Callithrix jacchus: one gene and its partner. The protein of the gene in region 2 interacts with the protein of the main gene of each other region in a pairwise test. Links are inferred from orthologs where the notes say so. Each region holds a gene or a part of one and is shown on either strand. Other genes may lie near its edges. The genes, in order: TSSK2 and TSKS.

The links.
Region 1: the proteins of TSKS (region 2) and TSSK2 interact in binary tests that used the Homo sapiens proteins (3 or more experiments, as listed by UniProt). The link is inferred for Callithrix jacchus from reciprocal best matches to the Homo sapiens genes TSKS and TSSK2.

What each region holds. Positions count from the first base shown.
Region 1 is NC_133502.1:210,756,705-210,760,615, forward strand, and holds the start of TSSK2 (testis-specific serine/threonine-protein kinase 2), read left to right. Parts: upstream 1-1,576; 5' UTR 1,577-1,669; coding exon 1,670-2,746; 3' UTR 2,747-3,911.
Region 2 is NC_133523.1:43,532,154-43,535,998, forward strand, and holds the start of TSKS (testis-specific serine kinase substrate), read right to left. Parts: upstream 2,886-3,845; 5' UTR 2,831-2,885; coding exon 2,661-2,830; intron 1,552-2,660; coding exon 1,329-1,551; intron 1-1,328. UniProt on the Homo sapiens protein: May play a role in testicular physiology, most probably in the process of spermatogenesis or spermatid development.

The DNA of each region.
Region 1 (3,911 bases), on a different chromosome or scaffold from region 2:
TCTCTGTCTCCTGCTGATCCTGGGGCCCATCCTGGCCCAGCCTCCTCTCACTTGCTCAAAGGCACTGGCCCCTACCCTCACCCCAAAGCCAATTCTACTCTCTCTCTCTCTCTGCCAGTGACCATCTTAAAACACACTGGGACGCCTCCCCCGTCCTGCACCCTGCAGCAGCTGCCTCTGCTGCTCAGAGAAGAAGCCCCAACTCTTTCACTTCCCTCCTGACTTCTACTTCCCAGTCACTTTGAGAAAAAGCCCTCTCTTCTCCCAGGCTCTCTGCTGCCTAGGTGCCTTCCTGCTGCCTCTAAGCAAGGAAGGCCCTGCCCCACCCCTCAGACATGCAGCCACTTGCCAGCTGGCATGCACCAAAGCCCCGACCCACCCACACACAGGCCCCCATGTGCTGGACCAGCAGCAACTCACCTACCCGGCTCTCTACCCTGAGGGGCCTGGCGCCTCTGCTCCTAAACACAGAGCTGCTTTCATCCACCAAGCTTGGCACCACTGCCAGCCTGACTAGTCCAGGGCAGTCCCTCCTAGGTACCACGGGTCCCAATGTTCCCAGAACCAAGCCGGGTCCAGCTGCATTTTCTCGAGGCCCAACAAGAAGAAGCAGACAAACTAGGAAAGAAGGGAATTTATTACCGTAACCGGACACAGGAAGAAGGCCAGAAATAATTCCACAGACCAACTCGAAGTATCACAATTTCCTTGGTGTTTATATAGGTTGGGGTTATGGGCATATGTGCAGTACAGCAATCACCTAAGTCTATTAGTAACTAATTTGGTTTCAAGTAGAAGGTCAGAGACAAAAAAAATGCTTGCGAAGTCCGATTACAAGAGGCCCAGTAGCTTTAAGGCCTGCCTACTGTGCTACCGGAGTGATTATTTCCATCTTTACTCCTTTACAGCTTGGTCTGGAGAGCTGCCTTACACTCCCAATGAATCTATTCAAACGGCTGCCTCTCCTACCTTGACTTGTCTCAGACTGTGTTGACCCAGGACAAGTCCTGGCACTGGGAATATAAAACTGTTCCCATTATTTTGGCTTGCTCCAGCAAGGGAGAAGCTGCTGACCACGTTGCATTTCTAGCTTTGATGTCTGGACACCGATTTCCCTAGATTTAACTATTTGCTCAATGTTAAGGCATCGCTATGGAAATTTGTCTGTAACTGGGGTGCTATGCAGGCCTGTCTGTATGACTGTCAGGGAGAACTGTCCTGCCACACGAAGGACACTAGGGGGCTTTTCTTCGTGGCCCAAAGAAGCTGCAGGAAACCCACCCTAGTGGGACAAAGACCAATGGCAGGGTCAGTCCCCATAGCCAGGTGAGGGAAACAGGCTGGACGCGGGCCTCCTCCCCTTTGGCCTGACGTGTGACAGGGAAGCCAATGCAAGGAGCAGCAGCAGAGAGGGTCACCACAGTCCTGTCCTGTGGGTGGGCTTCCTTCCAGTGGGTGGGGAACGGGTACTCCCACCCCACTCCTCCTTAGCTTTATGACTTCATTTGCTGACGTCACCCAGAGACAATGCTGAGTGTTCTACCCAAGTCAAAGCCAAGCCCAGCCCAGCCCAGCCAGACGCCTCCCAGTATCGTAAATGAAGACAATGCCTGTTGGCCCACGTGGTGGGGGGATGTAGACGGCAGTGGCGCCAGCCGCTTCTGGCACCATGGACGATGCCACGGTCCTAAAGAAGAAGGGTTACATCATGGGCATCAATCTCGGCAAGGGTTCCTACGCAAAAGTCAAATCTGCCTACTCTGAGCGCCTCAAGTTCAATGTGGCTGTCAAGATCATTGACCGCAAGAAAACGCCCACCGACTTTGTGGAAAGGTTCCTTCCTCGGGAGATGGACATCCTGGCAACTGTCAACCACTGCTCCATCATCAAGACCTACGAGATCTTCGAGACCTCTGATGGGCGGATCTACATCATCATGGAGCTTGGCGTCCAGGGCGACCTCCTCGAATTCATCAAGTGCCGGGGGGCCCTGCAGGAGGATGTGGCGCGCAAGATGTTCCGACAGCTCTCCTCGGCCGTCAAGTACTGCCACGACCTGGATGTCGTCCACCGGGACCTCAAGTGCGAGAACCTTCTCCTCGACAAGGACTTCAACATCAAGCTGTCTGACTTTGGCTTCTCCAAGCGATGCCTGAGGGACGGCAATGGACGCATCATCCTCAGCAAGACCTTCTGTGGGTCGGCGGCGTATGCAGCCCCCGAGGTGCTGCAGGGCATCCCTTACCAGCCCAAGGTATATGACATCTGGAGCCTGGGCGTGATCCTCTACATCATGGTCTGCGGCTCCATGCCCTACGACGACTCCGACATCAGGAAGATGCTGCGTATCCAGAAGGAGCACCGTGTGGACTTCCCGCGCTCCAAGAACCTGACCTGCGAGTGCAAGGACCTCATCTACCACATGCTGCAGCCTGACGTCAGCCAGCGGCTCCACATCGACGAGATCCTCAGCCACTCATGGCTGCAGCCCTCCAAGCCCAAAGCCATGTCTTCTGCCTCCTTCAAGAGGGACGGGGAGGGCAAGTACCACGCTGAGTGCAAACTGGACACCAAGCCAGGCTCGAGGCCTGACCCCAAGCCCGACCATAAGCTTGGAGCCAAAAACCAGCACCGGCCGCTGGTGGTGCCCGAGAACGAGGACAGGATGGAGGACAGGCTGGCCCAGACTTCCAGGGCCAAAGACCATCACATCTCCGGAGCTGAGGTGGGGAAAGCGAGCACCTAGCATGGCAACAGCCCCATCATGTGTAGTGGGGGCGGGGGGGTGGGGGGGGCGTGACGCAGTCGGCCTTCACATAAACTAAGTAGGCAGGTAGGATCTGAAGAAGACACAGGTGCAAGTAAAATTCGTCAATTAAACCACTATTTTGATTACATTCCATTAGTTTTCATCCACTTAGTAGCAAAGATGCTCCTTACTGACCACCAAGTAAACCACAGGGTGTGTACAAGCATCGAGAGTGCCCAGTGAGGAGTGTTTTTCTCTGGGACTCGGCCAGCCGCCTCAGCTGATGCACAGTGGTCTCCAGCCTAGGAGCACAGGACAGGTGCTCAGGCGCAGGCAGATTCAGGTGTGGCCTGGCCTAGTTGGGGACGAGAGGGCCTCTGCCAGGGTCCACCCACCAGGCCCCCACTGTCTCTCTTTGACCTGGCTCTATCCCCATTGCCCCCAGGCTGGCCAGCTCCAGAGGTCTACAGCTCCCCCTGGCCTCCTGCAGTTCAGCCTGCTCTGACCTGCCCCCGCTCCCTCACAACCTCTCCCTCAGCATCCTCCTCTTCCTCCATTTCCCAGTCATTTGAGATTTCTGTCCTCAGCCCTCACGTTGCCTGCCCTGCCCTCCAGGGGCAGCCCCAGCTAAGACCTCACCTCCCCTGTGCCCTCCCCGCCCAGTGGCCCTGTAAGCTGCTCAGCAGCCCTTGATGATGGTGCACTGGCTAGTCTTTCGTGCTTTCTGCTGGGTCACCCGCTGCTGCCGAAGCATGCAGCCCATTCGCCAGCCAAGTGCTGGAGGTGGTTAGCACCTAGACAGGGCTCCTCCCCACTCCCTAGGGACTCCCTTGAGATAAAAGCCACCCTTTCCTATGGGGTAAAGCACCAAAGGCCCCACCTTCCCCACTCATGAACAGTCCCAGCCTGATCTGTCCAGCACCCCTACGTCTACCTGCAGGTCCCAGGGCACATCTATTGCTCAGTTACCCCAGGAACTTGCAGGAACTCACTGTCGAGGAGCATAGGTTAGCAGTGGGCCCAGGAAGGTGGCAGAGTCAGGCTCTGTGCTGGCCTCCAGAGAACTTCAGCACTTAGGGAATGAGTGAGGGGACCAGAGAAGATCGCCTAGCACAGGCTGGGCACACTCAAAGCAGGAAGGACCCCGGTGTGAGTAGAGGCC
Region 2 (3,845 bases):
CCTGTCTCTATAAAAACATTAAGAAAAAAATTTGCCAGGTGGGTGCCTGTGGTCCCAGCTACTGAGGTCTGAGATGGGAGGATCCTTTGAGCCCAGGAGCTGAAGGCTGCAGGGAGCTGTAATCGCGCCACTGCACTGCAGCCTGGGAGACAGAGCAAGACCCTGCCTCAAAAATAGATAAAATTTAAAAATGCAGGAACAAATGCATGCATCTCCATTTTACAGATGGGTAAACTGGGGCTCCCTGAACATGGAAAATGCTCAGTAAATGCTACCGAATCTCAACAGCATTAAGATCATGGCTGGTGCTCACGCCTGTAATCTCAACACTTTGGAAGAGGCCCACAGAGTGGATCACAAGGTCAGGAGTTCCAGACCAGCCTGGCCAAGATGGTGAAACCCCGTCTCTACTAAAAATACAAAAATTAGCCAGGCACGGTGGTGGGCACCTGTAATCCCAGCTACTTGGGAGAATGAGGTAGGAAAATTGCTTGAACCTGGGAGATGGAGGTTGCAGTGAGCCAAGACTATGCCATTGGACGCCAGCCAGGACGACAGAGTAAGACTCCGTCTCAAAACAAAAGACAAAAAACAAACACCATGGTTGTGGTTAGTGTAGTTCTCAGTATCTCAGTATCTGGTGGAGCCGTTTCAGGCCTGGCCCAGGGGAAACCAGGCGGGGTGAGGAGCAGAGATTCAGAAATTCCCTAAAGCCCTCTAAATCTTGCTTCACCTCTCAGTTTTGTCCCAGATTCTTAGGTGACTCCCATCAGAGAACTCCTATTCATTCACTAAAGTAGGGTTGCAACACATCCTCCTCCAGGAAGCTTTCCTTGATACCCCCAGCCTGGCTTGAGGGGCTCTTCTCCTCCATTACAGAATTTCTTACCCTAGTCTGTGTCTATTGTCCCCCACCAGACTGGGAGCTCCCCAAGTGCAGGTTCCTGAGCCCAGCCTCATTGGGGACATTTGGGAGTGACTGTATGAACTAAAGACCTACACCCAGGCCAGGTGTGGTGGTTCATGCCTATAATCCCAGGACTGTGGGAAGCCGAGGTGGGAGAATCCCTTGAGCCCAAGAGTCTGAGACCATCCTGGGCAACACGGTGAGACTGTCTCTGGAAAAAAAAAAAAAAAGACCAACTCCCATATTCACAGCTGGCTGTCAGGAAAGGAGGAGGCAGATCCTTGTTAGTTCCTCTGGGTCTCAAAAAGCAACCAGAAGGTTCTCATTCCAAATCCAAAACACCCCACTCCGTCCTAAGTATTTGCTACCAGCACCTGGAGGACCTTGGTCTTCCCCAGAGGGTGGTGTGGGGGGCCCTCACCAGGATTTCCGAGATGTCTGGGTCATCCAGAACCCAGGGTAGGGTGGGGGAGGCAGGGGGCCCGGCGAGTTGGCTGCTGAGGTCTTCCACTATTGAGTCTGTCCCCGAGGAGTCGGTGGGCTCCATGGAGGCCAGGTTGAGCAGTGACACATTGGTGCAGGCCGACGACCGTTTGAGGTTCAGGCACCAGTGCATGGGCTGGTGGGACATCGGGGGCTCCACCCTACAGAGGAGAAACAGGCAGAAAGGTCAACTCCTGCCTGTGGTCTGGCCCCTCCTGCCTTCCTTTCTGCATACCTCACCCCCTGTTGACTCCAACCTCACTGCTACCTGGTTCTCCCTTCTCTGTCCCTGCTGCCTACTTTCTTTCTTTCTTTTTTTTTGAGATGGAGTCTTGATCTGTCACCCAGGATGGAGTGTAGTGGTGCAGTTGGCTCCCTGCAACCTCCGTCTCCCAGGTTCCAGCGATTCTCCTGCCTCAGCCTCCCGAGTAGCTGGGATTACAGGCATGGACTACCACACCCAGCTAATTTTCTATTTTTAGTAGAGACAGGGGTTTCTGCATATTGGTCATGCTGGTCTTGAACTCCTGACCTCAGGTGATCTGCCCGTCTTGGCCTCCCAAAGTGCTGGGATTACAGTGTGAGCTGTCGCCCAGGCTGGAGTGCAGTGGTTCTGTCTTTGGCTCACCAAAACCTCTGCCTCTTGGGTTCAAGTGGTTCTCCTGCCTTAGCCTCCTGAGTAGCTGGGATTATAGGTGGGTGCCACCACACCCCACTAATTTTTGTATTTTTATTTATTTATTTTTTAAGACGGGTTTTCACCATGTTGGTCAGGCTGGTCTTGAACTCCCGACCTCACGTGATCCACCCGCCTTAGCCTCCAAAGTGCTTGGATTACAGGTGTGAGCCACCACGCCCGGCCAATTTTTGTATTTTTAGTAGAGACAGGGTTTCACCATGTTGGCCAGGATGTTCTCTATCTCTTGACCTTGTGATCTGCCTGCCTCGGCCTCCCAAAGTGCTCGGATTACAGGCGTGAGCCACCGCGCCTGGCCCCACTGCCTACTTTCTTCCCCCTTCTCCTTCCCCGCTGCCTGCTTTCTCCTTCATTCACTAGCCTCCCTTCTTCCCTCCCCACTGGCTTTTTCTTCCCTCCATTCATCCCCACTACCTTCTTCCTCTCTACCTCCCTGCTGCTTTTTGTCTCTTTCCTGCCCCTCACCCGCTGGCTTTTCCCCCCTCTTCCTCCAGCACCCACAGTGGGACTCCTGCTCTGTTGGAGGCAGTGCTGGGCGTTAGAACCATCCCCGGCAGGGTGCGCCAAACCCACCCGTGGAACGACACAGCCTTCTTTTTCCTGGGAATCCCCTTGTCCGGGCTGGTAACCCCCCGGGGAGCCTCAGGGACTAGCTGGGAGCAGCTCTCGACCTCCGCAGGGATGTCCCCAGCCTCATGAATCTCTTTGGACTGCCAGATCGTCTTCACCACCACGCTCGCCATGGCGTGGGAGTCTGGCTCCCAGGGGCTCCTTCCTCTGAGACTTCCCACCTGTTCTAACCACAGACCCTCCAGGGTCCACTGTCCTCTCAGCCTGTCTCACAAAGGACCCAACCACTGGGCCCCCACGAGTGGGGGGGACACAGGGTAGGGAGAGCTGCTGGCCCAGGTCATCCCCCCAGTGTTCTCAGTGGACTCCTCCTGTTCAGGATTCCAGTTGTATGCCCAACGTGACACCCCCCACCACCGTCTTCAGAGCGACAGGCTCCAGTGAATGGACTCATGCTAGTTTGTAACTTGCAATGGGTTGGCCCACCGGTTCTTGGGAGAAGACCAACTTCCCTTTCCCTGAGACTAAGTGTGGGGTCGCCCAGCCCCGTGCACTTGTACTTGATTCTTCATGTAGCATCCTGGATTTGATGCTTGCCTGGGGTCTAGGAGACTGCGGTGGAAGAGGACTGAGATCCAGACCCTGACCTGCAGAGTCTCATATTCTATGGGGCATTAGGGTCGGGGGAAAAGGCAATGTACAGGTAGATAGATCAACAAGAGAATGTTAGGTGCGGTGGGCCTACAGCTAGGTGTGGAAGGTGAGGGAGGAGAGGAAGATGGAGAGTTGGGGCAGGAGAGAGGGTGGCTCCACCCCTCCCCCATTTATTTATTGTTTTCTTTAATTTTTAAAATTTTTCTTAATTTAAATTTTTTTTCAGACGGAGTCTTGCACTGTCGCTCAGGCTGGAGTGCAGTGGGTCGATCTCCGCTCACCGCAACCTCCACCTCCTGGGTTCAACCAGTCTTCCTGTTTCAGCCTCCCAAATAACTGAGATTGCTGACGCCTGCCACCGCGCCGGGCTAAGTATTTTTAATGGCGTTATCCCCAGGGAGAAAGGTGCTTCTTTCCTGGTCATTAATGGACTCCAGTCCTTGGAACGCGTAATGTCTTTCTGTAAAAAAGACATTTCTCCTCAGCCTGGCCAACATGGTGAAACCGCGTCTCTCCTAAAAATAGACAAATTAG